Drosophila melanogaster: one gene and its partners. Changing the gene in region 1 together with any one later gene gives a genetic interaction. Each region holds a gene or a part of one and is shown in the gene's direction. Other genes may lie near its edges. The genes, in order: Dark, ninaE, rpr and Diap1.

Region 1 (10,831 bases):
CCATCAGGTCCGTAGAAGACGGGCTCATCGCTCAGGCGCGGCGGCTCCTTCACTGTATCTTCATCGTCTCCCAGAGCGTTCGACACCTTCCTGCCCCAGTTGTTCTGCTGCAGGGCAATTACACTTGCCGCCATGGGGTACTTGCCCGGCGACTTCAGCTCGATCGCCTGCAGGGCGGTGATGATCTCCTGTATGTCCTTGGGGCAATCGGCTGTCAGATCATATCCAGCCAGCTTGAGGGTCTGGCACAGGCAGCGAACATTTTCGTTGCTCTCGCTGGCCAGCAGCTTACTCAGCGAATATACAATATTCACAGCGATCAACTGGATGCGCGAGTCGTCGTCGCCGCGCAACTGCATGTACAGCTCGGCCAGAAAGAGGGCAGTCTCGCGAACCTTCTGCTGCTCGTTGGAGCGCATGTACTTGGTCACTTCCTCCTGGTGGTAGTCAAGCTTGCACTTGAGCAGCGTGTGGAACAGCGAGTCCGGCTTCGAGTTGAGCATGTGCAGCAGGTTGTACAGCTTGGCGCCCATGTACCGGAAGTTCGGCTGCTCGATCGACTTCTCGAAGATGTCCTCCATGGCGATGGAGAGCACGAATTGGTTGTTCTCCATGCCATCGAAAATGGTCAGGAAGCGTGATGCAATCGAATCAAATTGGCCCGGATTCTGGATGGAGATCATTAATATGTCTGGTTAGTAGGAAATTTAGGTTTAAAACTTAAGATTAAGTTTGACTAGACTGAAATGTTTCAGCTGATTTTTTTTTTTACTTTCGAGCATAAATATATTGATTTTAAATATATTGTTATATTTAAAGAAAATATTAAGCTGACACCTATTAAAATTGATTAAATAATCATAAAACACTAAAAATATAAATCAAAGGAAGCCCATAATTGCCCTGATAGCTTATCAATCGAAATTCTCACCTGGTTAAGGCAATGTATGACTGTATCAAGATACTCCAGTGCTATGGTGGCCATGTCCGGCTGCGAAGAGTTCGAGGACGACGAGGAGGCCGCCGCAGTCGAAGTGGATGGCTGCGGTTGTTGATTCTGGTTCTGAATATACTGCTGCTGCTGTTGGTTGTGCTGCTGGTGGTGCGGCTGCTGCGGCTGGTTGTGCTGTGTTTGCTGTACGATTTGTTGGAATGAGTTATTCAAGTGGAAGTGCCGTTGAAACTTGGCGTGTTGGTTGTGTGGCTGATGCTGCTGCTGGTGTTGTTGGTGGTGGTGTGTGTTTTGGTGTACCTGCTGCTGCTGATAGTAGTTGCCGGCTGAGCCCTGCTGGCTATTCAGGTGCAGGCGATTCTGCACGGAATTCGTTAGCTTCTGCATATCGTTGTTGAACTTCTGCTGATGATTGTGATGATGGTTGTAGTGCGGCTGCTGGTGGTGCTGCTGATGGTGATGCTTAAAACCATTCACATAGCGCGGCTGCTGTTGGCCATAAGGAGCTCCTCCACCGGCTCCACCAGCCTGCTGGTATTGCTGATGTCGCGACTGCTGCTGCGGGGGAGCAGCTCCTCGAGGGATGAAAATTGTGGCCGTGGCCGACAGATTGGACGCATCGGACAGAGTCTGCGCCTGGGGTTGCATGGCCTGCACAGGAAAATTGCCAACCACCTGACCGTACGCCTGCGCTCCGGCGTACTCCCCAAAGAGATGCGCCTGCTGATCCAGTCCCGGCATGGCCACTCCGCCTGCTCCGCCGACATTCGGCCGGCGCAGCTGCTCATACTGATCGTCGGGCTGGAAGGGGGCGCGGCATGACATTGCGTTGGACTCGAAAACTGCAAATCACCAATCAGAGTAAAGTAATGGATGAGGATTAGTTTATCTAAATAAAGACAAATCACATTCGCCAGGGCATTCCCCAGCGTGGTTACGTTTGCAAGCCTCGGGACGCCGATTCAGACAGAGTTGCGGACATTTTGTTTTCCTACCACTGGTTTGTCGCCTTTCTTTTTTTATCTCTTTATTTTCCGCAGCCGGGTCAGTCGGTGTTTCCCATTGAAATGGACACGACCTATCCGACTCTACCGTGTGGTGGTGGGGAAATTGCAATGCCTACCTTAAATTTGTTCAAGTTGAATGTGTACGTCGCCGATTTTCGTTTTTGTTGCTTCGTTTTGCTGCGTCGTCACTTTCTCGTCTGCGTCTCTGATGCGCTGCTCCGAATTTCGTGTCTGATTTTGGGTGGGATTGCACGTTTTACTGGCCGTAAAAAATGTTAAATTGGACGGTGCGGGGGCGGGACGGCCGGTGACCGCTGAAAGGGAATGTAAAATGCTACGCACCTTTAATTTACACTGCGGCAATTTGTTAAAATTTATTATTTCGCCTTTTCACCGTCGGTGTGGTCGCAAGTGGCTAGTGAAAACTTACCTGGCAGTGAATACCTTTGTTGTCTGTGATATATCGATACGGCTCAATATGGTCACACTTTAAATAAAGTAATAAGTGCTAAACCGTTTTTTAGAAAATAAGCATTAGATAAACTACTTCATTTCGTACAAGAAAATCATGGTATTATTATAATCTTAGATCTAGTTGGAAAAGAGATATATATTTGGCATATATATATAAGGTGGCATATATATAACAAATTAATAACTAATAACAAATAATATATATTAAAATATAATAAGAAATTCTTAATATATAAATAAGAATTTATTATTATATATTATTTGTTGTCGGTTCAAAAATTAATTTAATCGTAATGTAAATTGTATTTCTTATTAAGAATATACAAATTCTCAATATCTTAAATCACGCAATATAATATCGAATTACAATTCAGATTACGATTAAAATCATTTTTGAACCACTTGACAACCCTATATATAATTCGATATTATTTCCCTCGCGTAAAACGGTCACACAGTCGAATAAATTCCGTTTTGTTATTTTTTGAGTACTACTCAATGAGTAGCATAGATTAGTACATTATTTATATTTTTTCAAGCCTTTAGTGTTTCGCTTAGAATGTGCTAGAACAATGTGAACAAGCCGGAGCAACTATATATTAAGGATAAAGTGCAATACTTACACATACAACAAAATACGAATAAGGACGACGATTTGTTAAAAATAAACGGCGAGCGTAAGTAAATATGCGTGCAGGTGAAAGCTTATGTACCTGTAGTGCTTTCGTTTTCTGTGCTCTACAAGTCCATTTGTTTAATTCTTCCATTGGGCCTTGTGCCTCCCCGTCAATCACAAATCCAAGGCACTGTGTGTGTGACTGAAACAATTGCATGCGAGAGCACTTACACACAAACATAACAAGTTCATTCACACGGCAAACTCAGTGACGTATCTTCTCTCTGCCTTTACGCGCTTATCTAACTGGTGATTAATAATTCGATCCGATTTTGGTTCTACGACATTGACGAGCGGAGGAGAACAAAAATGCAACCGGAATTGCCTTTTTCGATGGTTGCACCGCCAGCTCACGTATTCCTAGCTATTTAGAGGCGATCTCGTTCGCGTCCTTGTCGATTAGTTGTGAAATTACCGATGATCCAGTCGATCTCAGCTTGCAGATAAGGGATCTCATAGATCCATGGTATCGCATTTCTCTCCTCGAGAAGCCGTCTACGGTGCATTCAAATAAAGTGGGCCAAGCTTGGCGCCAAAAATTCCGCCATATGTATGTACACATATACATGCATACATATGTGCATTTGAAATGAACATTTTTTTGTTTTGATTTGTTTTTTTCGATTTTCTTGATTCTGTTCGCTAAGAGTTGCACCTGAGTTTTTATTGGTTGGTCCAACCAAATTTATGATTTGTGTGATTGCCCGACCAAGGAGAAGACAGGGATTCGGATTTGATTCAGCTTTATTATTAGAACACTCGATCTGGTTGCGTTAGTGTGAACGTGGAGAGCTTAGGAACAATAAAAGCTAGAAGGTTGATATTAAGAATACAGATTCTAGAGATACAGACGCAGCCCAAGTTTATTCACCCATGTTGCCACGCCTACCCTAACGCCCACAAACTGCTCAAAACTGTCACGGCCACACTTTTGAACCGTTTTAATTTTTATTTCTATTTATTTTGTTTTCGAATTTCTATGAGATAAAAATTTCCAGCAGAGTAACGGGTATCTAATAGCCGGAAAACTCGACTATAACATTTTCTTTTGTAATTAATGAAAATACCACAAAAAATAACCCAATGCCAATAAATTATTTCTAACATAGCTATAAAATTTAGTTACTATATAAATATTTACATATGTAGGTAACACGAATATGGATTTTGAAACTGGGGAGCACCAATACCAATACAAGGACATTTTGTCCGTGTTTGAGGATGCATTCGTCGACAACTTCGACTGCAAGGATGTCCAGGATATGCCGAAATCAATATTGTCCAAGGAGGAAATTGACCACATCATCATGTCTAAGGATGCAGTCAGCGGCACACTTCGCTTGTTTTGGACACTGCTCTCTAAACAGGAGGAAATGGTCCAGAAATTTGTGGAGGAAGTTCTCAGGATCAACTACAAATTCTTAATGTCGCCAATCAAGACTGAGCAACGGCAGCCCAGCATGATGACCAGGATGTACATCGAGCAGAGAGATCGTCTGTACAACGACAACCAAGTATTCGCCAAGTACAATGTGAGCCGCCTGCAACCGGTATGATAATCTCCCATTCGAAAAAAAAAACAATCAAAGAAGTCCAACGTACGAAACCGAAAAACAATTTTACTCTGTGGAATTGTTATCTAACCATACTACAATACTTTTTATATTTCAGTATCTGAAGCTAAGGCAGGCTCTTCTAGAACTTCGCCCAGCGAAAAATGTATTGATTGATGGCGTCTTGGGATCGGGAAAGACTTGGGTAGCCTTGGATGTGTGCCTATCGTACAAAGTGCAATGCAAGATGGACTTTAAGATCTTCTGGCTTAACTTGAAGAACTGCAATAGCCCGGAGACCGTGCTAGAGATGCTGCAGAAATTACTTTACCAGATCGATCCCAACTGGACAAGTCGTAGCGATCATAGCAGTAACATAAAGCTTCGAATCCACAGCATTCAGGCGGAACTGCGACGACTGCTCAAGAGCAAGCCATACGAGAATTGTCTCCTTGTTCTGCTTAATGTGCAAAATGCCAAGGCTTGGAATGCTTTCAACTTGAGCTGCAAGATATTGCTAACCACACGGTTCAAGCAGGTCACTGACTTTCTTTCGGCAGCTACCACAACTCATATTTCATTGGATCATCATTCGATGACGCTTACGCCGGATGAGGTTAAGTCTTTGCTTCTAAAGTACCTCGACTGTCGACCACAGGATTTGCCCCGGGAAGTTTTGACAACGAATCCCCGCAGACTAAGCATTATTGCTGAGAGCATTCGGGATGGTCTGGCGACCTGGGACAACTGGAAACAGTATGTGGATTATGAGTGTTCACACTGAATAAATACATAATTTTTTTTTGTAGTGTAAACTGTGATAAGCTGACGACCATCATTGAGAGCTCTCTAAACGTTCTGGAGCCCGCTGAATATAGAAAAATGTTTGATAGACTGTCAGTTTTCCCTCCATCAGCCCACATACCCACTATTGTAAGTGAGCACTGCACTTTACGGCATACATCTACTAATCGTTATCAACTTCCTGTTGAACAGCTCCTATCGTTGATATGGTTTGATGTTATCAAATCCGATGTAATGGTAGTGGTTAACAAACTTCATAAATATTCATTGGTGGAGAAGCAACCAAAAGAGTCAACCATAAGTATACCCAGCATATACTTGGAGTTGAAAGTCAAGCTTGAAAACGAATATGCACTTCATCGGAGTATCGTAGATCACTATAAGTATGTTCCTAGCCCTTTTCTTGATATCTTGAATTTTTGCTAAAATGTATTAACCTTAAGCCACGAGTAAGCCGTATACTGAGTGATTTTAACCTTTTTGTTAGTATCCCAAAAACATTCGATTCCGACGACTTGATACCGCCTTACCTGGACCAATACTTCTATAGCCACATCGGTCATCATCTAAAAAACATTGAGCACCCCGAACGGATGACTCTCTTTCGCATGGTCTTTTTAGATTTCCGTTTTCTAGAACAAAAGATTCGGCACGATTCAACTGCTTGGAATGCCAGTGGATCGATCTTGAACACGCTACAGCAGCTGAAGTTCTACAAGCCATATATTTGCGGTACGTAAATTTCTGAATCATTTGAAACAAAAAAAAAATGTAATCTTTTTTTCATGCAGACAATGACCCAAAGTATGAGCGCTTAGTCAACGCTATTCTGGATTTTTTGCCAAAGATTGAGGAAAATCTTATTTGTTCAAAGTATACGGACCTGCTTAGGATTGCCCTGATGGCCGAGGATGAGGCGATTTTTGAAGAAGCCCATAAACAAGTGCAGCGCTTTGACGATCGGGTTTGGTTTACTAACCAGTAAGTACTTACCAGCTATTGACTAATCAAACAAACAGAGCTGTCATTTTTAGTAATAATGAAATGTATATATATTAAAGTTACTTTATTATTATTATTTCACTTTTTCCTTTTATCAGCGGTCGTTTCCACCAGCACCGTCAGATTATAAACCTGGGTGATAATGAGGGGCGCCATGCTGTCTACCTTCACAACGACTTTTGCTTGATAGCGCTGGCCAGCGGGCAGATCCTGCTAACCGATGTTTCGCTGGAGGGAGAGGACACCTATTTGCTAAGGGACGAGAGCGACAGCAGTGACATTCTGCGTATGGCGGTATTTAACCAACAGAAGCACTTGATCACCTTGCACTGCAACGGCAGCGTAAAACTTTGGTCCCTGTGGCCCGATTGTCCAGGAAGGCGCCACAGTGGTGGTAGCAAGCAGCAGCTAGTCAATAGCGTGGTTAAACGCTTTATAGGGAGCTATGCAAATCTGAAAATTGTTGCTTTCTATTTAAATGAAGACGCCGGATTGCCAGAGGCCAACATCCAACTGCATGTGGCATTCATCAATGGTGATGTGAGTATTTTGAATTGGGACGAACAAGATCAGGAGTTCAAACTGTCGCACGTGCCTGTTTTGAAAACGATGCAGTCGGGAATACGGTGTTTCGTTCAGGTTTTAAAGCGATATTACGTGGTCTGCACCTCAAATTGCACACTTACTGTATGGGATTTGACCAACGGTTCCAGCAATACGCTGGAACTACATGTTTTTAATGTCGAAAACGACACGCCGTTGGCCTTAGATGTATTTGACGAAAGGAGTAAGACCGCCACCGTGTTGCTGATTTTTAAGTACAGCGTATGGCGGCTCAATTTTTTGCCAGGTCTTTCGGTTAGTTTGCAATCGGAGGCAGTGCAACTGCCAGAAGGAAGTTTCATCACCTGCGGAAAGCGTTCGACTGACGGACGTTACCTACTGCTGGGCACGTCCGAGGGACTTATTGTGTATGATCTGAAAATCTCTGATCCCGTGCTACGCAGCAATGTCAGCGAACATATAGAGTGTGTGGATATATACGAGCTGTTTGATCCTGTCTATAAGTACATTGTTTTGTGCGGCGCTAAGGGAAAACAGGTGGTCCATGTGCACACATTGCGCTCTGTAAGCGGCTCGAATTCACATCAAAACAGGGAAATCGCCTGGGTTCACAGTGCAGATGAGATAAGCGTGATGACAAAGGCTTGCTTGGAGCCTAATGTCTATCTGCGTTCTCTGATGGACATGACCAGAGAGCGGACGCAACTTCTGGCTGTGGACTCCAAGGAGCGCATTCACCTAATTAAACCGGCCATTTCTAGAATTTCCGAATGGTCCACAATCACACCCACTCATGCTGCCAGTAACTGTAAGATAAATGCCATATCCGCCTTTAACGACGAACAGATTTTCGTTGGCTATGTGGACGGAGTGATAATAGATGTTATTCATGATACAGCGCTACCTCAGCAGTTTATAGAGGAGCCCATTGATTACCTCAAACAGGTCAGTCCCAACATTCTGGTGGCGTCGGCACACAGTGCCCAGAAGACTGTGATATTCCAGCTGGAAAAGATAGATCCGCTGCAACCCAATGACCAGTGGCCATTGATGATGGATGTTAGTACCAAGTACGCGTCCTTGCAGGAAGGACAGTATATCATTTTGTTTTCCGACCACGGAGTCTGTGTGAGTGTTCTTAATTGAAGTTTATGCGAGTAAAAGTGCAGTATTTGATTTCAATATTTACCAACAGCATCTGGATATAGCTAACCCATCTGCATTCGTGAAACCAAAGGATTCGGAGGAATACATTGTCGGCTTTGATCTAAAGAACAGTCTTCTCTTTCTGGCCTACGAAAACAACATCATCGATGTGGGTTTGCTAAACATAATATCATTAAACAATTATCAATTATTTCCAACGACAGGTATTCCGTTTAATATTCAGCTGTAACCAACTAAGGTACGAACAGATTTGCGAAGAAGAGATCGCCCAGAAGGCCAAGATCAGCTATTTGGTAGCCACGGATGATGGTACCATGTTGGCTATGGGTTTCGAAAATGGCACTTTAGAGGTATACATACGTCTTACAAATTCGTTTCATAATTATTTCCTGCTAATTATACATTTCCCAACAGCTCTTTGCCGTTGAAAACAGAAAAGTTCAACTGATCTACAGCATTGAAGAGGTCCACGAGCACTGCATCCGGCAATTGCTATTCTCGCCATGTAAGTTGCTCCTGATCAGCTGCGCGGAGCAGCTGTGCTTCTGGAATGTGACGCACATGCGCAACAATCAATTGGAGCGCGAGCAAAAACGGCGGCGCAGTCGACGCCATAAGCAGCACAGTGTTACACAAGAGGATGCTGTGGATGCGGCGCCCATTGCAGCGGACATCGATGTAGATGTGACATTCGTTGCCGACGAGTTTCATCCGGTGAACCGAGGGACTGCGGAACTGTGGCGGAATAAGCGCGGCAATGCCATCCGTCCGGAACTCCTGGCCTGCGTTAAATTTGTGGGAAATGAAGCTCGTCAGTTCTTCACAGACGCCCACTTCTCCCACTTTTATGCCATAGATGACGAGGGTGTCTACTACCATCTGCAGTTGCTGGAGTTAAGCAGACTTCAACCTCCACCTGACCCAGTTACGTTGGATATTGCCAATCAGTATGAAGACTTAAAAAATCTTCGAATTCTCGACAGCCCACTTATGCAGGATTCGGATAGCGAGGGTGCTGATGTAGTTGGCAACCTGGTTCTGGAGAAGAACGGCGGAGTGGCGAGGGCGACACCAATTCTGGAGGAGGCCAGTTCATGACGCCAGAAGTGCGTCCCTAGGCGGCGCACGAAACAGGAAAGTCCAAACTACAACATGGCATTTATAGGATTACTGCTCTACTACCTGATGGTTTTGCTCTTCTACCTCCTGGGTCCGGATTTGTCCTAGGCAAACATTAGTTGTTGGCGCTTACATTTGCGAATGTATGCAGCTAACCAAGTATGATATCTCAGAGGGCGGTGGGTGCGTTGCCCTGCCTTTGTTTGTCAACGCGAGTAACCGCCACCAAATAAACGACATTTCACGAAAAACACAGAACGCGGTTTTGTTGTCTGCTCTTTGTGCTGTCCGTATGTATGTATGCATGCATGTCTGTGTGGGTGGTTGTGCTGTGCGTTTGTTTTGATTTCTGCCAGGCACGCCAGATCAAGTGTTGCAAAAGCATTGGTCCCGGGACAGTGCTGCTAAGTTCGTGTATGGATATCAGTGTTGCGGTCCAATAAATAGGTACGTATCTGGATTGTGGCTCGTCTACTTCTAAGCTGACTTAAATTAATAAAAAGGCTTTGGCCTCAATGTTTGCATTTTGGTTTTATTAAAAAGTTCAAGTCAAGTTTGGGCTATAATTTTTATAAGCTAAGATTTACACACATTGCCTTAATGAACACACGTACGAAATATATTAAGAAGCATTTAAAACAATGAATAAAAACCAATAGCTAACTTGTATCATCGGCAAGGTACCTTGTTTGTACCAGTTTTAGGTACTGAATTCCGTACCGAACTAAAGCCCTTTTCAACACTGGCAGATATGCGCTCTTTCTCGTCATTTCATTCCAATTTTCAAGCTGAAAAGAAAAGAACGTCGTGTGCGTGTTGATGGCGCGATAAGTGAAAAAAATAAAAACATTTTTCGTGTCTTTATGGAATACAATACGAGTGCGTTTTAAGTAAGTGCGTGGCGAAAGTGGCGAAGCAGAGAAAGAATGATGCGCAACTCGCTACGCGTGAGCTCACTGCAGCAACAAAAGCAATAAATAAAAAAAGTGACTACATGCATTCCGCGCACCCACACACTGGCGTAAAATTCATACATATTTAAGTGCATTTGTGCACGCTCGTCAATGGCAAAATCGCGAGCTTGCAACTGCCAGGAAATATTGTACGCAAATTTGTCTAAAAATGATCTCTAACCCATCGCACGCAGACAGACGCAGCGCGCTTATAGGGGCATCGAATGTATGACGGCATATGTGTATTTATTTTCCACACTCGCCCATCGGTGGCAGTGAGTGTTAGTGAGCGACGCGCGTGTGTGAGTGCGTCGAGTGCTGAACTCTTGAACTGCAGTACATGGCTTTAATTCGATTTTAGGGATGTGCGGCTTGACGGAGCGGGAAGCGATCGAATTAATGAGTAAATGATAAACAACTGGACGCTTTCCGAGGCTTCGAATCCCTTGTTTTTCTCTAACAAGTGGCTTGCGGCAGCCATATTGTTTTGCCTTTGCGTTTGCGGCGATGATCGCACTCGCACCCCCACACACACTCAGTCAGTCAGTCAGTCCAGTTTG
Region 2 (7,326 bases), on another chromosome or scaffold:
ATTAAATTCGTGAAATATACAGAGCATACTTTCAGGTACATACACCCCGAACTCAAATCTTTATCGTTATCAATACACGATCAACATAAATGTATTATTGTCGTATTAAATATTACAGAGAAGGGCATTCAAAGTGCCGGGTAAGTTTGGTTCTGCCTCTCTAGTTTCAAATTTGCCCGCCTCATTGAGCAGGAAAACAACAAATTCCCCAACAATAACAACGTCTACGGATCGCAGCGTTTATCTCGCTTATTTGCTAATGCTAAATGATCGTCTTCTTCCCCGCCTTCGGCGGCCTTCTTCCACTTCACATCGCAATGTTTGTTGCAAGTTGGCTTGTCCATATGTCTCTGTTGTTGCTATACCCATTTCGTTACTTGGCTTTTATGTTTGGGCCATCTAGCAGGTGGGCGGGGGACTTTTGTTGTTTAGCGAAACCCGAAAATGCCGAATAAATTGAAATGCGATTCATGGTTTATACCCAGATTATTTGTATATATGCATACACAGAACTGTAGGTAAATACGTAAGTATGGGAACCGCAAGTGCGGCTAACGATGACGCCAATATAATGATCATGATGATCAAATTGATGGTAATGATAATGGCGATATGAGCGCAGCTTCCGGTTTTGCGCCTCGGTATTTTTGTTAGTTTTTTGCGCTGGCTAACTTTATATGAATATTTATTACCTGCGCTTTTTTTGTATTGTTTTGCGGTGTGTAATTGATTTAAACCGAAAGATCTGCCGACATGTGTCGACTGTCACACCAGCTGACAGTTATTTCGGTTTAGTTCCATATTTGGGTTGGGCGCAAAGCGTGGCATCCCATTTGGCCATTTGGATTAGCCTAAAACTTGACCCAATTCAAGCTGATGTGTTGAGCCATCGCACAAAGGCGAACAAAAGGCTTTTATGCCAAAGCTGGACTGACAAAATAAAATCCAAGCTGCCCACACCAAAAAGAAAAGAAACAAAACATGTTCGGAAAATTCAATGGAGGTGCGAAAAGATCAATCAGCACAAAAAATCCATAAGCGGCTTAGCGTCTGGGGTGTTCATATTCTTAATTTAAATAGATTATTTTACTACTTCCAAAAGCTGGCATTCTTTTTAAGATAATCCAAGATTAGCAGAGCCCTCAAGATGTGCGTTCATCGGCGCACACACTGCGTATACTTGATTGCGCATACGCACTGGTGTCGCAGGCGAACGATACTGATATTTCTTCTGCTACGATATGTTTTCATAATATTCTTCAAATTTGTCTAGGCATTGACACATTAAATCGCTGACTTTCGCCATTGCTTTCTGCACAATCTGGAGACTCAAGAATAATACTCGGCCAGAACCCCCAGTGGAAACCCTTGAAATGCCTTTAACTATTGACATTGGCCCATTGCGATGTGCGCTTGCTTTCGTTATGGATATTATGATTATAAGCCAAAAGCTGTCGACACTTTCCTCTGCACATTGCAGACATATTTTTAGGCTGGCCTAATTGAATTTCAAGAGCAGGGGTTACACGAGCACCGCGAAAACTATAAAAGCCATGCGGCAGAATGCAGACATTGCAGGTTTCCAACGACCAATCGCCGCGACTAGTCCGCCCCAGTGAAATATTCAGAATCCAGGAACCCTTTATGTAAAAAGTGTTAGAAATATTGTTAGTGAATTTGCAGCTTTTTATGTAGACAGTGTGATATAGGCGGGATATAGTGACGCAGCCAGTAACCAAAACACAATGGAGAGGTACGATCGGTGGATCCACTGGATGTTCTGGTTAGCAATTTAACATTTGCTTCGGTGTTGCAGCTTTGCAGTAGCAGCCGCGCAACTGGGGCCACACTTTGCCCCCCTGTCCAATGGATCGGTGGTGGACAAGGTCACGCCCGACATGGCCCACCTGATCAGCCCGTACTGGAACCAGTTCCCCGCCATGGACCCCATTTGGGCCAAGATCCTGACCGCCTACATGATCATGATCGGCATGATTTCCTGGTGCGGAAATGGCGTGGTGATCTACATATTCGCCACCACCAAATCACTGCGCACGCCCGCTAACCTGCTGGTCATCAACCTGGCCATCTCCGACTTTGGCATCATGATCACAAACACGCCCATGATGGGCATAAATCTGTATTTCGAGACCTGGGTGCTCGGACCCATGATGTGCGACATATACGCCGGACTGGGCTCGGCCTTTGGCTGCAGCTCCATCTGGTCCATGTGCATGATCTCCCTGGATCGCTACCAAGTGATCGTCAAGGGCATGGCCGGCCGGCCGATGACCATTCCGCTGGCCCTGGGCAAGATTGCCTACATCTGGTTCATGTCGAGCATTTGGTGCCTGGCGCCCGCCTTCGGCTGGAGCAGGTGAGTCCTTGAAATGGTAAACCTTCTGGGAACCCATTTTTTAAAAAATGATCAAAGCTACTATATACAAATGTTTAAAAACTTAAATTACAAACAAAAGGTTTACAAATTACAATTGTATTAATATTATTACCACCTAACATTATCCTATAAATATATATTCTTAATCTAAAAGGTATGTGCCGGAGGGTAACCTGACCTCGTGCGGTATTGACTACTTGGAACGCGACTGGAACCCACGCTCATACCTGATCTTCTACTCCATCTTCGTGTACTATATTCCGCTGTTCCTGATCTGCTACTCTTACTGGTTCATCATTGCTGTAAGTGGCGACGAGACTCGCATATCCCAGTCGCTTAACCCGATATATCCTCCCACAGGCTGTCTCCGCCCACGAGAAGGCCATGCGCGAGCAGGCCAAGAAGATGAATGTCAAGTCCCTCCGCTCCTCTGAGGATGCCGAGAAGAGCGCCGAGGGCAAGCTGGCCAAGGTGGCTCTGGTCACCATCACGCTGTGGTTCATGGCGTGGACACCATACCTGGTCATCAACTGCATGGGACTGTTCAAGTTCGAGGGCCTTACACCACTGAATACCATTTGGGGAGCTTGCTTCGCCAAATCGGCCGCCTGCTACAATCCAATTGTATACGGCATCAGGTTGGTTATGGGCTATGAAACGTATATACCTTAATATTTAACCAATTTTTTATTTTCATTCCGTATAGCCATCCGAAATATCGCCTGGCCCTCAAGGAGAAGTGTCCTTGCTGCGTCTTTGGCAAGGTCGACGATGGCAAATCGAGCGATGCCCAATCGCAGGCCACCGCCAGCGAGGCCGAGTCCAAGGCATAAATTCTTTGGCGCAACAACCAGAACAGCAACAACAACAACAAGAACATCTAACTACTTACAACAGCAACAACAACAGCAACAAAAACAACAGCAAGAACAACTGCAGCAACAGAACGAAACGCTTTCGAATAACATCAAAAACTTCAACAATAATGAAAAAATTATGCAACTTTCTTACATAACAAAAAGCAATGTAAACTCAGTTATTAAATTTCCTGCAATGTCAGTTAAGGACAAAAAAAAACTCAACAAAAAAAATAAATGCAAACGAACTAGAAAAGTTATAAATTAAAATGAGCCTTTTCAAAACATAGTATATCTAACAAAAGCAGCTTTTAGCGTGGAAAAACCCTAATGACGAACCTACAAAAGTTCGGATATCAACTTTCGGTTATCTTTCGCCTTTAAAGTTTGGAGAACCACAACAAATTTGAGTTTATTCATTCTTATATGTATAATAGTCTTCTTCAGAAGCTATAAATCCTTTCCAGTTAACAAGAAATACCCCTTTTTTGCAAAGCACTTCACAATATATTATCTATTTCAGTTTTTGTTTTCTTTTTTTTTTAAATTAAAGGCACTTATGTAAATTCCATTTTTATAAGTTAACATGCAATCGTTAAAACTGGACACACAGACAACGCCTTTTCGAACTCAAAGTTGAAAAGACATGAGTCAGCATGGGAGAACTTAACCCAGGGCTGCTGGAGACTCATTGAGCTGAGCCTCGCAGCGGTTAGTAGCACATGGAGAACATTAACAATTAATCAGTAGTATCTGTAAAGGCACAACTCAGAAAGCTTTCAACTCCAGTCACTCGCTGCACGAATCGTACTCGCTTTCGCTTTTCTTGATTTTCGTTTTGATGCCCGGCGTTCCGGGAGTTGTGGTTGTGGGTGATGGTAGCGTATTGTTGTTGTCAATAAGCGCAAAAGAGCTATTGCCTCCAATGGGTTTGTGGTAAGTGCTTGGTGGACTGTCCACACAATCGGACGAGGTGCACACACGTTCTTGTATAATGAGTTTCCACAAACGCACTTCGATGCCAACGCTGCAAAATACCAAAAGTTAGTTGAGCATGGATTAAGTGTACTTTTCTTATAAGCTTTAACGCACCGCAGACCCAGCCTCATGAGGTCCAGCTTTTCCATGTTATAGATAAAGTCGTCAAATGTAAAACCTTCATTCAGGATGAGCGTCTTTGAGAACTCGTCTATTTCCTGCTGGGTCAACCACTGCTCCAACTGCTCGTCTACTTCGTGAAGACCAAAGTGATGCTTGTTTAGCTGCCTCCGGGGATTGCCCGCTATATTCGGACGGACTCCGGACGTTCCGCCCACACTGGTACTCATTCTATGGCACTTTTTGTTAAAGCCGTTTATTGTGCGTCTGTTAAGATGAAATTGTGAATTATAATAAAATTTACAATGTCCTACTTGGTTTACCAACCTTAATCTCTTTCTGCCGCCCATGTAAATGTGAGCCAGCTCCTGACTGATATTATGCAGGGCCCTCATGCTCTGCCGCTGCTGCTCAAGGAGCTGGCGTTGCAGCTTCTGCTGATTGTCACGGATGTCTCTCAGGATGCGCGCGCACTCCATCGAACTGGACAGAGCATCCCCGCCCGATTCCGCAGGCGTTAATCCCACACCTTCGCGAGTGTTGCTCGTGGGAAGAACTTTTTCCAGGCTCTGCTTTTCCTGGCTCTCGGTGGAACCCTTCTGCATTAGACTTGTACGCAAGCTCTCATCATCATTTCCAGACAGGTCTTTGTCCGCCAGATTGGCGCCCAGTTCAGGAGAGAAAATAGTGACCGCCGCCTGGACGGCCCGCTTAACCAGATTATCCAATGCGAACATCCAATGGGGTTTGATGCAATGGTACCGCAGTACGCAGACCACGGCGTCCTGAAAGGAGTACAGCGCCAAATGAAGATGGTCCAGAGCAACTGCGTCGTTGTTCAGCTTTTGTTTCAGTTCGTTGATAGTCGCTTCCAAATGCTTTTCGTTTTCGTTCATAATGTAGTCCCGCAGTCCTCGGATTAGAACCTCCAAATCGCTTTTCCTAATCGCAATCGAGTTCTGATCAGCGTCGACCTTCTTCAGCCAAATATCGCAGATCTTGGATTCGTCTAGTGCCAGCACCTTGGAAAGCGTTGTCCGCCTCTGCGAATCCTTTTTAAGCCTGTAAAAACCGTCAGTCTCGCTCGTCTCACTAATGCTCGTACGCAAGGACGGCGTGGAAGGTTCAATCTCTGGCGAGAGCAAAAATCCATGGGAATTTCGCCGTTCAAGCATAAACTGGTTGCTGGGCAGCTCGTCAATGTCCACCGAGGATGAATGCGTTATGCTGAAATAGGAAACAGAAAGTACAATATAAAATTACGTTTATTTTACAATACATCAAGTGCTATCTCTTCTCAGTATCAAAATCCGAGTGCGCATTTTCCAATCATTAAATATGCACTTTACTGATAGCAACAATCAATGTGTTAACTACACGATAAGCAAAGGCACTTGTTACTCTTATAATAGTAGACGATATGGGAAAATATAGAGAAGCACGGAAAAATTTTTATATTCATTAAAATTAGCAAAATATAAATGATAATTTTCAACAGATAAGATAACCTCTGCTTGTAATTGAGGAAGGTCGAACATGATAAGAATAGTCGCAGCGTTTAACTTACTCCAATTCCGGCGTTGTGGGCGTATTGCAGGTTGTGTTGTAGCTCAGCGGCGGTGTGGTTTTGTGCACAAACCGATCAGCCGGCACCGAAATGCTGCGTCCGAACTCAGTATTGATGGGCAGGGCTGGGCGCACCTTGCGGGGTTTACTTATTGAGAAAATTAAAAGTGCAATTAGAAAGGAATTAGGCAAAACAATTAAGCAAACTCACTCTTGTAGGAAGGGATCTTCCAGAAGTTGCGAGGCGGAGGGTCGGTCCATCACGCTGATGGCAAAGCAACGCAAAATAAAGTTCTTTGCGTTGGCGGACAGCTCCTCGGGTATGTTCGGATGCTTCTTGTAAAAGCCCACCTTGAACATGGCCGCATGGGCGCTACCCAGCTCGATAAACGGTGGTTTGCCCGTAGCCATCTCAACGTTTGTGCATCCAAAGGACCAGATGTCAGCCGCCGGGCCATAGCCGCGTACTCCCTGGTCAATCACCTCCGGCGCCATGTACTGCAAGGTGCCCGTAAAGGTCTCCGTCATCGGGTTGATGCGGGCCAGCCGCTTGGAGGTGCCGAAATCGGAGATCTTAACCACGCCGCTATACGTGTTAACCAGCACGTTGTCACCCTTTATATCGCGATGAACAATGTCCTGCTCGTGAAGGTACTTCAGCCCCTCGAGGATCTGCTTGGAGTAGAAGGCCATGGTGGACTCGTTGTCCTTGAGCGGACCCCATTTGGTCTCTAAGAGGTCGGAAAGCGATCCTCCCGGCACCTGCTCCATGAAGATCTTGAAGAAGCCGTTCTCCGAGCACGATCCCAAATAGCGAACTATGTTGCGATGTCGCAGCTGAGAGTGTAACTTAATCTCCTCGTGCAGTGGCTGCACATCCTGCGAGTTCTTTTCCGGCACCTCCTTAATGGCGATTCGCACCTGCGTCTGCTTGTCCCTGGCGGCGTACACGGTGCCATAAGTACCTTTGCCCAGCACCATTTTGCGATTCTGCTCATCGTAGTCGTACTCGTACTACAATTAATAATAATTAGCAAAAGTGGCCGGAATATATGTATATATGAATAATAAATAACTTACCTCGATATTAGCGTCATCATTGCTGAGATTGACAAACACCACCTGATCTGCAGTCATCTCCAGGATCATATCGTAGAACTTTTGTCGTCGTTCAGTGGAGGGAAAATATATTTGAAAATCATCTGAGTTGTGATGGACGTACAAGTAGGCACAACGATCATCCCTCTTGTAAAGGCTGACGGACTTGATCTTCGATGCCACGAAAAGGAAGTCGTGGATTTTCTTACACGCATTCTTTGCGTGAGCCAAACAGATGTTCACAATCTGAATGGACTTCTCATCCGCATCCATGTTTATAGTCACATAACTGGGCATATAAATCTTCTG
Region 3 (6,524 bases), on another chromosome or scaffold:
AGATGACAATATTCTGTTCGAGAACGTTGCGCAATTCTTGGAATATTATTAAGCATTGGCTGGGGGCGGGGGGAGCAACCTGACTGAGAGGAAACTTTAAGAATGAGTGATGATTTCGGCCCAATTATTTTATTACTGCATATAAGGATAGAGGAAGGAGGTTCCAATCCTGCAACTTTACTCCAACGGTTTTCGTTTAATATTTAAATAATGGGTAATGCAGGGAATATATAGGAAAATTTAAAATATAGGTCTAAAATAAATTGTAATGTAAAAGCTATCAATTTATCCACTGAATATAACATAAATGATCCAATAGTAGAATTACAAATGAAATGGAACGAGAGAAAGCTGAAACTACTGCACTAAATTGTTATTATACGGTTGGAACTAATAGCTAACAATTTAATAATGAACAACCTGTAGATTTGGTTGAAGTACGGATTATACGATGAGTATTGTGCATGACACAGCAGTTTGATCATAAAGGTACAAAGAGATGATTGCCAATCTAGTATTTAATTCTTTTCTTTTATTTGCCAAGAATGATTGTAGATACCCTATAAAACGGTACAATAAAATAAAAGCAAAAATTAGGGGAATTGCGCAAGTTATCGCATTGTTGATATTACTCATTAGCATTCGTGAATGTTACGAATGTTTTGTATATGTACGTACAATGTGTGATATGTAAGACATACCGATTTGAGGCAGTCCCAGACAAAGACAGAGACACGTCACAAGCTGCGGAGAGGAGTAAGAAAAAAAAACTGATGAAATTATCGCTAAAAATTTGCTTTCATTTGGGAATATCACGTTGGATGCCTCATGAAATGTAAAGTGAATTTCTGGAATCCCAATCAGAAACAGGATCGGCAAACTTCCGGGTAGATCGAAAATTCGATTGACACACTTCCCAGGAATGAATATCGTATCATGTGGGTCATTTAACATGTAGATTGAAAACTCAATCGAAGAAACATAATCCAATTTGACAAACTCAATAGGCCACAAGACACAAGTTAAATTGAAAGTCAGGCAGTTATCTATGCAAATGATATATGGGTTATTAAACAAGTCGAGATTCGACTTTGCCTGTTGCACCCCAACCGGAGGCATGCATTATTTGAATAAAAATGACAATAATTACCCGCATTATCCCTTAAGAAAATACAAGTACCCAAAATCGTAGATAACTATCTGTTACTTTGAAAATATCGCCTCATTGGGCAATTAGAGATTTAGATCAGAATCTTAAGGAAAGAAAAACTGAATGAAGTCTGTGATAAAGGCCTTGAGAGGATAATCATCGAACTAATTGACATTCGACAGCCTCAATTATGACTGATGCGCAAATTACCGCAGGTTACCGCGAAGGACATACATTTAAGGGATAACGTTAGCCATGTTTCGGTTAACTTAAGGCCCTTTCTGGCTCCACCCTTCTTGGCAATGATTCAGCTACATAAAAAAGGTCCCAACCTAAACTCCGCCCCAGAAAACGAAAGCAGACCCAAAACATAAATTTCCAACTTGAACCACATTGGTCGTCCCCCAAAACGTGCGAAAGAGAGGGAATGCCCATTTTTCGGCTTCCTCTTTTTGCCCGCTGGAGCAGAAAACGCTGTTAGAACGTAAGCCACGCCCAACTGTCCCGGATTTATATATGTTGTATGTGTGTGTTGACGCGAACCCGGAAAGAAAAGACTCATGAAAAAATAACTATAGAGTCGAATGGTTCTGCTGTGCGACTAGGACGGCAGTGTGAAAGAAAGAGAACGAGCACGCCCGGCCGAGGAAAGTAGAGTAGTTCCTTCAACAATAGACCTAGACATCAGAGCTGTGGAGAGGTGGTCGCTATAGACGATGACGCAGAACATCCCCCAAAGTGATGGCTATTCTCTATCACAGTGGAAACACTTGAGACGCACGTCGTAAGATTCGGCTGTTTGCCTGTGTGTGGGTACGGTATTACGGTACTACGGCTTTGTGGGTGGAGTTTGAATGGAACTTAAAACTCATCGCGGTTCTTTGGGTGGGGTAAAAGATTTTAGAATTATGCAGGTGGAGTTTCAAGAGCTAATTTTCTATTACATATATATATGAAATTTATTTAAACATCATAACGAAATTAAGAACAAAACAATAGTATGTTTATGGGTAATCCGACTTAGATACGATGAAAAATGATGAAATATGTATTTACGTCATTAAAGAGAAAGTTTCAGTTGAGATTTAAAATGTAAACGACCTATATATAATAATGCAGAATATATATTATTAAAGATAATTTCAATAAGCTTCCTATATGTTGGAAGAATACATTGTTCGGATATCATATCCATCAGGAAGGCAATTAATAATACTTTAAGCCGCAGGGAAATTTTCGTGTATGATTTCCAACGAAAACATTCATATCGTATCATATCATATCCGTCTGGTTCCGCTCTAATGAAAATGAATAAAATTGCACACGAAATATAATGGGACGAGCCCATTGTTGTCAATATACTGTATATGGCCTTTAATTTATGACATTGTCATAATTCTTAGTCGGAAGCTTCGGATGATTGTGTAAACACTTGTAGAGCGCGAGATACTGATAAAGAGGGATCTATCTAGATATGGCAGGTGGGCTGGTCCATGGAAAAGAGAGAAAATAATTCAAGAAATGGAACGGAACTCTTCCTTGCCCACTTGCCCATATTTCAAGTGAATCCGCCTCCCACTTGTTATAATACCCTTACAAGAAGCTATTCTGCTTAATTATGTAAATAGTTTGTACTTTAAATGTTGTACTATTAATAGCATCAATGTGTCCAACCTAAAAAATATTGGTTTTATTTTTCCATCATTTTTAGTTGGAATTTTCTTATTAATTACAATTCAAGAATTTAATCATATTATAGAAAATATACTGGCGGTAATAGCTAAAAGGACTTTTTGCTGATTGACATAGATGAAAATAAATATTTTTAATATTTAAGAAATGAAATTCGAAGGATTAATATGAAACCGGCTAGATGGTTGTACTTGGCTGTTATCAGGTATCCGGCTTAGTTTAGTTGCTAATCACTAATGGGTAGCTAGTGTAAATAATGTTAATCTTAGAGGGTATTCCAAACTTTAGTCGTGAAGCAACTCTTGTATGTCTTTCTCTGTCGAACTCCTTGATGAGAAACGATTGTCATGCCCCGACGATTTAATACAATTAATATGCTAACTGTACTTCTCGCCGCACACAGTTACAACAAAGGCGCTGCCACCAACCTGGCAACAACAACACAACCTCATACAAAAACACGCTTGGCAACAGGCGCAAGGTGGCCCCGCCCCCGCTCACGATGAAAAGTAGTACTTTTTTGGGAGCTGCGAATGAGACGATGTCAACAGAAATACCAAAACAAAAAAACCCCAGCCAGAGAGCCGAAGAGCGAAGAAGGCCAAAATGAGCAGCCACCACCAGAAAAACAGAGAACAAGGCGGCGTGAGAGAACCAGGTATAAATAGCCTCGGAGCACTACTCAATATATTCAGTTGAAAAGCAACCATCGCAGCGAACGCATCTCGAAAAAATCATTGAATAAGAGAGACACCAGAACAAAGTGAACGAACTCGAAAATACGAAAGAAAAGTGTGTGCGCCAGCAACAAAGAACTAACTCGATAAATATTCATTGTGCAGAAGAGAAAGTTATTGAGTCACTACCAGTTGTGTAATTCCGAACGAGAAGAAAGATAAACCAACAATGGCAGTGGCATTCTACATACCCGATCAGGCGACTCTGTTGCGGGAGGCGGAGCAGAAGGAGCAGCAGATCCTTCGCTTGCGGGAGTCACAGTGGAGATTCCTGGCCACCGTCGTCCTGGAAACCCTGCGCCAGTACACTTCATGTCATCCGAAGACCGGAAGAAAGTCCGGCAAATATCGCAAGCCATCGCAATGAGGATTCGAGTAACTAACAAATACGGGGAAAACCAATAGTCCAGTCCAAAATCCAGAGTACAAAGGAAATAAGCATGAGCCAACCCAAAACCCAAACACAGTCACCACTCATCAGCCGACGGCACTCGATTTCTACTGCAGTCAAGGACACAGAGCCACAACACCCACCCAATTTTAGTTTACTCATCAAAGCGATTGTGATAATGGTTTTGTTTCTACAAAAAAGCGGAGGAAAAATTTGAAAAAATAACGTTTTTATAAAGTCCCCAATTTTTTACAAAAATGTTTCAATGATATAAATCAACTTTTTTAGAAATAATTTACTCTTAAAGCCTATTTAAATGAATTACTACTGTAATAGTTTGTAAGTTCTTTTGTAAGACGAGTTTTTCTAAGTTTTTTTTAAGAAGAAACCCCAGAAAAAAACGAAGATGAGTCGAAGTTGGCTAAAAATTGCATCAATTTTTTGTCAAACAAAAAGTCAATAAAACAAAAACAAAAACTAAAAAAATTGTTGGTTTTTCATTTACTTAAATATTTTCAGATTACCATTTATAAGATTTAGATACAAAAAGCGAAGAAAGCCTAAGATGATGTCTCGAAAAACTGAGTTTGGAACAAGCACATTTTTTATTTCATTTCGCCGACGGTAAAAGGAACTTTCTAGAAGGCTGTTTAATAATCAGTGAAATTATCGGTGGTTGTGAAAATTATTTTACATGTGTTTGGTTAGGAAACGTTAAAGATTTTTTTTTGTTTTGAAAAAGTTTTTCATTTGATTTCCGGCGTTCGGTGACAGAGTCCGCTTTGAAATATATCTTAATAAAATATTAAGATTGATATTGCCGGAAATAATAATAATAATAATAATTATAATAATAATAATAATTTAGTTATAATAATATTAATGCAAGCTAATTTCTTGAATTATTGTAGAACGAATATAATTATAAATCGGTATTACATATAATAGAATCTTAACCACATTATTTTTAGTTTTGATATAAACTATTTGTTGTAGAAAGTTAAACCACGTTTTTATTAGTCACTTTCCAGACAATAGATTTATTTAAACTTCATTGTTCTTTAGTTTTCGATATCTTATCGATATGTATATTTAGACATGGCTAGATCAACTCCAAAAACTGGAATATTGTTAAGATCAATCACATCAATTGAATTAGGATATGTATGAATATTATAATTCTATATAATAATACCACTTCTACCATTAGATATTTTATTTTTAATATAAAAAAATGAATTCCCAATTTCTTGGAATGTGCAAAGTTAAGGGAGAATGAGTCTTTTAGTCCAACTTTTCCACTCTGAGAAAAACTTTTCAGCCACTCCGACAACATTGTTCAACACAAACGGCAGCAAGAAAACACACAAAGAAAATTCAATTATGCAAAAAGGAAATACAAAAATATTTGCCAAGATTTTTCGATGCAGAAACTTTGTAACAAGAGAGAGCAGGCGGGGGAGTTGCCCCTACGGCAGTCTTGACATCTTTTCCCCTCTATAATTTCAAAAAATTAGGTGCTAACAAAACAATTTGCATTTTTAAGTTAATTTTGGCAAGCGCCAAATGGCAGGGAAAAATTCGATGTGCAATTCTTGAGGGTCTCGTCATCAGCTCGAAGGATATGACTCTGTGTTCCGCGAACGCGGCCAGGACTTTTAATTAAACTTTTGCACTTATGCAGCTGCCATATCCTTGCACATCCTGCAGTTCAATTCACTTTGATTGCCCGAAAAAAGTTAATAAAAGTTGGCAAAGCTCGCGCAAAAAGAAATCAGAAATTTCACTTTGCCAAACAAAACTAATTAACGTTAAACAGATAAAACTTTTGCCCACGCCAGCCGGAGTGGCATATGAAAAATAATTAACACAAGTTTATGATTATGTTTGAAGCTGCGCCAAACGTCGAGCGATTTGTAAGCGAAGTGCTGTAAAAATCACAGACGAAAAGCATTTAATCCCTAGCAGCAAATTCTTCCAAACTTTTATTTCTGTCTCTGCTGTTAATTAGTTCGAAAAGTGTTTCTAATAATGCCAAAAAGATGCAAAAAATACAATGGAGCCCGCTTAGAGTTAAGTGAACTCGAATCAAAACAAAACTTTATCCATAAATTTCCAAGAACTATTTTCGGTCAAGAGGTGCAGCCCTTTTTTTATGTTTGGGGTCTTAGCCTTGACTGATCTTTATCCGTTTGTGGTTCCATCGCTCTGCTTACCTTCCACATAATTGTCTGGCATGTTAGCCAATTTTTCGTTCCATACTTTTTGTTTGAATAGAACAGGTAAAAGGTAGGAAGGAACACAAATAGTCCGATTCTGCGGATACTCGTGCAGAAATTAATGAAGACCCAAAAAAAAGGGTCCACTGGCAAATTCCCAAACCAAATCGAAAATTTAACAGTCCGAAGTTGGGATGCCTTGTTGAAAGACGGCGGATCATTGCCATTTTGTTCATATTCGCTTTATTTCAAGTAAACATTTGGAATCTTTCTGCGTTTTCAAATATTGTTGGGGCTTCCTTTACTTTTCATTTCTCGTGACTAGGAAACCCAAG
Region 4 (8,010 bases), on another chromosome or scaffold:
AGTATCATTAAATTCCTATTCTTCGACATGCCACAAAATCGAGTCAAGCAAATTGGAGGAAAACTGAAAATGATTTTGCGAAAATCTTTGGGCTTTCAATATGTAAACGCGCTTTCGTGTGTATGGGTTTTGTATGTTTTTCTTGGGTGTTTAAAAATAGAACATTTTGTATTTTTCTTATTTAATGCTTTTGGCCGTTTGCCTTTTGCTTGTGGCTGTTGTTGTTGGCTATGCCGTTCTGGCCATTCGACTTGTAAATCGTCGGCTTGCATTAGCCATGTATTTGCTGTATTTGTTAATATTCGAAATTCGAATTATTGTTGCGGCGGCGAAAGAGCACGAAATACCCAACAACAATAATGGTCGAGCGTCTAGCGAACGGCGCTGCACAGTGGGTCTAAACAGGATGGATCATTCTTGACCTTGATTGAATATCCTATAAAAATTCCTAAATAATAACGTCAATGTGTCATAATGCTGTGTTCTTTATCTTCTTCGATGGAAAATCTTGTAAAATTAATCAATTTAGTAATTTGTTCTTTATATTTTAATTTGTTGTTTTACTTTAAACGCTCTTAAGTTAAATGAAGTATACATAAAAATTAAATGGTTAATCCTTACGAAACAATAAGGTAATACTTTTCGTTTGCTGCTAGATATTCTTGTAGCATTTTAATAATTTGATCCCATGACCCCATGGAATTCGACCCACAGTGCGATTCACGTCAGCACCACAGTTGGACGCAACGCAACAGTGTCGAAACTGCAGCTCCCTGCGCCCGTTCCACCCCAACCCCGCCCCCAATTCACCCACCACCCCCTCGCCCAGTCGCGTGATCGCAGTTGCAGCAGACTGACGCAACGCCTAGCCGCCTTCTAAAGTGGGAAATCAATCCCTGGTGATAGGGGATGCAGTGTGAATATTCACATTTAATTAACTGGAAATTGCACCTGCTGCAAATGCAACCCTTGATAGAATTGCTAATACTCGCCACTTCTACCCAAACAAGAAAATAATGTCTGTTTGCAAACGATTACTTAAGTGGGAATTATCAATACCTACTAAAAGACTGTTGTCTTTTTCTTTTCTTCTAGCGAATGTTTTATGTTTTCTATCTGTGTACTATATCTTTAAAGATAGCTTTAAAATATATTTTATTTTATTGTATGTTCTTTAATTTAAATTTATTTACAAATTGACTAGTTGAGCAAAGTATAACCATTCAAACGTTACATTTTCTACCACCCAATAAGGACTATTCCTAAGTGTGAAAGAATGATGATTACTGGCAGACTTACCTGGTGCAGGGCGGTGAGTCCATCGACGTTGGCGGTGTTGATGTCGGCGCCCTGGTCGAGCAGCTGGACGACCTCGTCCTTGTCGCCGGAAAGGCAGGCGGCGAGGAAGACACAGCCGGAGCTGAACTTGATCCTGCGGCCGTGCTCGTGCCGGGGGGTGGGGGCGGCGCGGTTTGTGTCCGACTCCTCCCAGCGCTTCAGCTGCTCGGCGCGCTTCATCATCGCCGAGTTGTTGCGTGCGTCCAGCGAGGACATCTTGGCAGATCCTTCTTGGCCAGACGAACGATCTGCTCCTTCAGATAATCCTGCTACTTGCTGCAGAGCACGCGCTCTGTGAGATCGCTCGACTGCTCCAGATGTGTGTAGATTTTGTATGTAGCGCTGTTGTATCGCTATTGCTCTATCGTAATTGCTTTATTGCGCTTTTGTTTGCAATGGGAATTGGGTTTTGATTTTGCACTATTTATAGAAAATGCTTCACACTTTCGATTTTCGATCACGACTACACTTTTGCTGTTTGTACTGCTGCTGCTGCTGCTTCTTCTTTTCCTGCTTGCTGATTATTATTATTTTACGATTTTTCTATTTTCTTTGCGTGTGTGTGCGCGTGCGTGCGTGCGTGTGCGTTTGCTTTATCAGCCAACTTCTTGGCGTTTTCTTCTCCGCTCACTCACACAATGTCGCAATCAGGAACGCTCTCTCTCTCTCACACTCGCTCTCCCGCAAAACAATGCTATTTGTTGTTGTTTAACGCGCACCTTTGTTGTTGCATTCAATGGAAATTACACAAGAGGATGGGGCAAAAACTAAGAAATACGATAGGAGAAATTAATATTTTGCAAATGCTTTATTTAGAGCCACCAGCTGCTGGGCTACATAGTGTTAAGCAAACACATTTTCATATCAATTAAAAACACTTGCGGGCATTTTAGCAGCCGCTTGTTTTTTTTACACTTTGTTTATCATTCTCCCTTTCGCGCTCTCTCTCTCTCTCTGCCGCTCACACACACTCATGCAGTTAGGGCTTGCATACGGAGAGCGCGAATGGCTGAGCCTGCATGTGTGTGTGTTACCAATTTGACATAAATTCAACAGCCGCGACGCTGACGTCGCGAGTAAATAGAACAAAAATGGAAACCGCGTATTTTTTCACGCACTGAAATGCGATGATTTTATGTAATTTGGCAGGATGGCGGTATTGCACAAAATCCTTGCAAATGCGAGTGCACTTATGTAAAGGCATTTTTACATCGCCCCACATTTTACATTCCACTCCACACTCACACACACATTCACTCGCCTCGCACACAGACGCAACACATACACACGTATGCCGCACACGCACGTAGAGAAAAATGGATTGCAGTAGAAACTTTTCACACACACCGAAAGACCAAGCGAAAAACGCACCTTTCCCGCGAAATTCCCAGAACTTTCAGTGCTCTCTGGGCTTTAATGGCTGCAGGACTCTCCGCTGAAGCGCTCCTCGTCCGCGAGGCACTGGTATTTCACTTTATTTTGCATATTTTCGGTGGCGTTCAAATCGAATTTCATCCGCACGAAGTTCACAGACCAAAATTTTTTGACGATGTGAATCGGAGGGCAATGCGCGGTATATTTAGCACTCTTTTCGCCTGGTCACACTAACGCCGCTCACAAAATTGTAGATGGCGTCTTAGTTATGTTAACACTTAGCAGTGCTGTTATGGACCGATATTTTTAACGATGTTAATTAAACTATCAATATTATTTTAGGGTATTCGTAATTGTTCGTCTTATTACTCCATTCGGGAGAAATGCGTTCTTTTTGCATCCAATTCTTTACATTTAGTTCAAAAATAGATGCGGCCATATCTATCGATATATTTGATGTGCCTCAAAAACACATACAATGCAATTTTCAAACAACTTTTTAAATATATTAATACCGTTTCTAATTTTATCTATATAAAACACAAAAAGGAAAAAGAGGATACAACAGAATCAATTTACTTTCAAACTCAAAAAATGCTGTTTTTGGTCAACTTCTCTAATTGTGGCTTCCCTCAATTGTTTGTATTTATTCCTGGTTTGATACTAAGAATTCTCGAAAGTTTATTAAACCGAAACAACAAACAATTGATGTTAAAATAAATTTCCAAACTGATCAAAGTATTTTGTTTTTACTGGGAGTTCTCGGTATGCCGAAGGTTCTTCTGTTTGTTCCACTAATTTTTTTGTCAAATCAAGACAAAATGTTAGGGGCTCTAATTCTGATGAATCGAAATAAGCTCAGTTTTCGCGGTGTTACTGGACCGGGTAACAGACCCTTGTTCTATAAGTGGCTCAATTTTGTATATGTGTTATACCTGAACTACCGTTTCGATTTCCAAACCGTTTTATTCGATAAATGTTGGTTGAAAACGCTGCTGACGGCCTAGCGTAGACTTGATCCCACTGATGCATCTTATCGATATCTTTTTAGCGCGTATCGATACATCAGCGAGCCAAGCACCTTGAACAGTGTGACCCCATTTAGCATTTATTTAAAACTACGACTTCGTGTGCTGACAGTTGTTTGTTTTTGAAATTTTAATATATTCAGAAATATAAATAGCTTGCAAAATAGTTATTAATTAAACTTAAAAAAGTTTTAAAAAAAACATTCCAGTTTAGAGACGCACAGCTGGAATAGCCAACGAAAGTGCGGACATCCCACCCCCAAAAATAATTGCGCATCGCTTGGGCGGCAAAAAACTATTTCGACCGTTCCGCCCCGCTAGTTCTCTCTCTTTCCCCCGCCAGCACCCTCTCGCTCACTAGAAAGCCAAGCAAAACAAAACAAAACGAGAACGCAGAACCGACAAAACAAATACCTATAGGAAAGTGAGCTATATAGGCACATAGCTTTGGCGTAGTCGTTGCACGGCATTCAAACCCACCAGTCGACGTGAGCACAGTTGTGTAAACATTTTATACAGCAAAACTTATTTTAAGTGATTTTATAATCTTATCGTGGTGCGATAAGAGGTGAACGAAAACAATTAACGATTTGGTGGCCGAAAAAAGGCATTAAAAAAACCAATGATAAACTGATACGTTATCACTGTTTAAAATGTCTCTGGTAAGTAAATATAAATATGTGTGTTCAATCTTCCCGCGGTTTATAGAAAAAACAAAATGGGTTTACTTTACTATACTTGAATTATGCTGCATACAAATAGGCGCCGCCTGTCTACCTTTCTCTCTCCAACACGCCTTTTTTCATTCATGTCCTTACCCCCACATAAACAGGGACACGACCATTATCCCTCCCTCTCTCACTCTCTCTCTCTCCCCCTTTCTCCCTATCTCGCTCTCCGCTCTCTGGCGTTTTCTAGTGATTTCTAAAACAATCTGGAGGCCGAGATACACATGTACATACATACTTAGGCATATGTCAGGATCCCGTCTTATCTTATTCGCTCTTGTGCTAGCTTGTCATTTTGAGGGATGGGTTGGAATGAAATCTGTCTGTCGCACATGTTTCTGCCTGGATATTAACTAAGATTGTACCTTTTATCTCCGCCGATGCTGAGCTCATTCGCATCGCATTTCATTCATGATGAAATCAACACCACCCCCATGCTGCAAAACCCACCCATTCGTGGAACGCGTTTACTAGCTAGAATTTTCCAATTTCTAATTACCGCTCAATGTCATTTCCATTTACAGCGCTGCGTAGGTTCCTATGATTGATGGGGTTTTGCCTATAGCATCAGTTGCTTACCTCACTTATTTTACTAGAACGAAATTCATATATCCTCGCTGCATTCTGTTTTGCGTCATTCATTCGTGAGATATTTGTTTAAAACAACTGTCAACTGGCAAGTCTAATCTATACCTAGTAACGGTGACTAGATGGTTTCACAGGAAATTAGGTCACTTGAGTAATGTCATAACCTCTCAAATTCCTTACTTCAAATAGTAGTTCACTGATGAGTTCACTTGGTGTTCCCCTGAAAATGATGAATAAAATTATTTTTGAGTATTTATCCACTACACCATAAACTTAAATATACAATATACATACATCCTTTTTGAGGCTCCATCATTTGACAGCAAAAGATCCGCGGGACACCTCAGTTCGGTAGGCTCATTATTGGATTGTTCCACACATCCACACACCGAAAATATCCTGACAAAGGATCGACGGCAGCTGGCGTCGTCATGTGCCGCGCGATCCTTTCACTGGAAGCGTGCACAATAAGGATGAGGACCCTTGCCCCAGGAGCAGATGTTGCTGGCTCCGCTTTCGGCGATCCTCTGATCGGTTATTACCTAGTTGCTGCAGCTGCCGGCACACGTCCACAATTGTCGATCCAGGTGCTTTCTTTCCTTCCTTTTTTTTTGGCCCTGAATGGAGCAGGTAAATACATGGTGGCTAGAAAAGGGACCGACAGGCAGCACATGTTATAAGCAATGGGTAGTGGCTAGTCTAATCGAATCGTGCCCAACGCGTTGTTATGACACCTTTTGCCAATCGCCGCACAAATGAATGAAGAGAATACAAAAATGGCAAACAGGTTTTCAGCTCCGCTGCAGTTGGCTGTTAATAAAAAGCCACAAAATATAACATAAACAGAATCAACTGTAGAGTATAGCTTTTGAAATGTAATATGAGGAACTTAGGAATTACAAAGTTGCAGCAATCTTTTGACACGCTCCTTAATATTTATCTTAAATGAATATTATACATGCATATATAGATAAAATTAAGGTATATCCCTATTGAGTCATACTTGTTAATGCTGGCATGGTTTCATTATTAAAGCAACAAAGTGACTCAAGTTGTTTGAAATAGCTTAAACAGCTGTCAACACATTAAGTTAAAACGCTGTAGGCTATTTTAACTGTGCATTAAAAGCAGCACCAACAAGAACAGGGCGGTTGCAACAACTTTAAAAGGCCTTGCAAGGCCGTTTAGCTCCAAGCCCGCGGATTTTTCAACTAAAACTTGTCCGGCGACTCGAGACCCAAACTCTGCGTGGTCAGCGGAGTGATCTTTTGATGCTGAATATGAAATGAAAACCGAAGTGCCTCTGGCAGCATCCGCAAATAGAATGCTTGTATAGACGCCACATTTTCGCTTAATTTACAGCAGAAGACCGCCTGCAAACAGTGTCGACTTGCAACATGTCAAAGTCGTCTAGACTTCGCATTTATAGGCAAATTTCTCAAATGCGTCGCGACATTTTCGTGGTAAATTTAGCAGCGTGTATTTATAAAATTTGAAAAGTTCAACCCGTTTGCTTGCGGACGCCATATACACATGTCGCGCACTGTAGCCGGGCTGTTTTCCATAAATGATTCAAACTTGGCAATCTTTGTTTATACAGTATCAGAACGTGTTGGCATTTCCCCTGCCAAATATATATTCATAACTCAAAGGGGCTTAATCAGAAAAGCTTGGGACTTCGTTTAAAAATATTTTACTTATTGATAGTTCATTGCAAATACTTTGTTCGAGGCAAAAACGTCAATTCAAGAAATATGTTTGTAAATTTCATAATATAAATATATTCAACAAATACTTTAAGAATCCCTAGTGGTTTCTTCGCATTTATTAGTTTTTATCAGCCATTTTATCATGTCATATACTAACTTATGTACATAAAATTGCGTAATATTTACTGTAGCAATTACTCAGCCTTGTACTGTGTGCAAAATATATATATTAGAACCCCGCCCCAGGGAACCCTATTTTCTATAACCTAAAAGCGAATCAAAAAGCTGACATTTTAGAAGACATAGAAGAAATTGACTCAAAATAAGGCATTGCAATTGAAGTTGTAAATCTTGTTCTTTAGTTTTTGGTATAAGGACGGATTCATCATTAATTCATCATCATTAGATTGACACTTCTAGTGTCTTTGGTTTAACCTGAATCAGGCTAGTACGGGACCGAGTACGGGACAGAGCCTGCACTTTGAGATGTTCTCTTAATTTTGTTTTTTGTTTTGCTCTTTTCCATACATAGCTTTTTGCATAGCCGATTTGTTTAAAGCTGGCACTCCGCCAGCCAAGCCGTATCATTAAAAGCATTTTTTCGTTTAAAAAAATAATGATCGGAATTCGAAGGCATAATAATCTACCTTTTTTGATATGTGGACTTTGTGAAAGTTCCAGCTGCTCCTTCCTCCTCGCCACAATGAAGGAGAGACAGACAGACAGAGTGAGAGAGAGTGAGAGAGAGGTGGAAATGCGGTGCATTGACACGCGCGCGGCGCATGCTCTTCGCTCTCTTGCAGGAGGATAAAAATCAATGATCCTGGCTGCGGTGTCTGCGAGTGCGAAAGGGATAGCCATACAGGCAACAGTAGTACGTCTATTACGATTTACGTATTAATACTAGTCGTAGTACAACAAAATTATGCACTTGCATTTGTCCATTTTTATTAATTGTTCAACTTGCCCACAATAAAAAGCCAGACTGTTTGATTCTAAACAACGTTTATGGGCCCCGCCTTCACTAAAAGTGGCTAAATAAAGTTTCAGTAATAGCAAGAAAATTAAAAGTGCGGAAGGCCGAATGAACAACTGCATTGAACATTCCACTCACCAAAGCTAGGCAGCTGAGAGAGGGTGTCTGTCTACCTCTCTCGTTGGCAGTTCTGAAAAAAATAACCTTAAATGTTTACAGAATTAGCGTGAAGCCGAGGGATTCGAAATCGACTTCGGCAGCGCTCGTCT

Evidence for each region.
Region 2: of Dark (region 1) and ninaE, changing one suppresses a phenotype caused by changing the other (phenotypic suppression), as found in Drosophila melanogaster (one study listed by BioGRID).
Region 3: of Dark (region 1) and rpr, changing one suppresses a phenotype caused by changing the other (phenotypic suppression), as found in Drosophila melanogaster (3 studies listed by BioGRID).
Region 4: of Dark (region 1) and Diap1, changing one suppresses a phenotype caused by changing the other (phenotypic suppression), as found in Drosophila melanogaster (4 studies listed by BioGRID).

The regions. Positions count from the first base shown.
Region 1 is NT_033778.4:17,017,132-17,027,962, forward strand, and holds Dark (Death-associated APAF1-related killer), read left to right. Parts: upstream 1-2,895; 5' UTR 2,896-3,110; intron 3,111-4,258; 5' UTR 4,259-4,269; coding exon 4,270-4,659; intron 4,660-4,780; coding exon 4,781-5,418; intron 5,419-5,471; coding exon 5,472-5,595; intron 5,596-5,658; coding exon 5,659-5,849; intron 5,850-5,953; coding exon 5,954-6,198; coding exon of another isoform or gene 6,199-6,206; exon of another isoform or gene 6,207-6,257; coding exon 6,258-6,447; intron 6,448-6,520; exon of another isoform or gene 6,521-6,566; coding exon 6,567-8,160; intron 8,161-8,221; exon of another isoform or gene 8,222-8,227; coding exon 8,228-8,347; exon of another isoform or gene 8,348-8,402; coding exon 8,403-8,549; exon of another isoform or gene 8,550-8,613; coding exon 8,614-9,297; 3' UTR 9,298-9,572; downstream 9,573-10,831. Other genes in the region: Paip1 (Poly(A) binding protein interacting protein 1), read right to left, coding at 1-668, 932-1,777.
Region 2 is NT_033777.3:19,882,450-19,889,775, reverse strand, and holds ninaE (neither inactivation nor afterpotential E), read left to right. Parts: upstream 1-1,569; 5' UTR 1,570-1,745; coding exon 1,746-1,753; intron 1,754-1,816; coding exon 1,817-2,377; intron 2,378-2,552; coding exon 2,553-2,700; intron 2,701-2,758; coding exon 2,759-3,036; intron 3,037-3,104; coding exon 3,105-3,231; 3' UTR 3,232-3,521; downstream 3,522-7,326. Other genes in the region: Ask1 (apoptotic signal-regulating kinase 1), read right to left, coding at 4,045-4,282, 4,348-4,620, 4,681-5,580, 5,921-6,067, 6,131-6,933, 7,000-7,326. UniProt on the Drosophila melanogaster protein: Visual pigments are the light-absorbing molecules that mediate vision. They consist of an apoprotein, opsin, covalently linked to cis-retinal.
Region 3 is NT_037436.4:18,395,460-18,401,983, reverse strand, and holds rpr (reaper), read left to right. Parts: upstream 1-3,548; 5' UTR 3,549-3,748; coding exon 3,749-3,946; 3' UTR 3,947-4,449; downstream 4,450-6,524. UniProt on the Drosophila melanogaster protein: Activator of apoptosis, as well as grim and hid, that acts on the effector Dredd.
Region 4 is NT_037436.4:16,046,850-16,054,859, reverse strand, and holds the start of Diap1 (Death-associated inhibitor of apoptosis 1), read left to right. Parts: upstream 1-3,825; 5' UTR 3,826-4,402; intron 4,403-4,556; exon of another isoform or gene 4,557-5,276; intron 5,277-5,350; exon of another isoform or gene 5,351-5,625; intron 5,626-8,010. Other genes in the region: Mbs (myosin binding subunit), read right to left, coding at 1,300-1,554. UniProt on the Drosophila melanogaster protein: Anti-apoptotic protein which functions as a caspase regulator, using its E3 ubiquitin-protein ligase activity to smother caspase activity. Binds, ubiquitinates and inactivates initiator caspase Dronc, and effector caspases Drice and Dcp-1.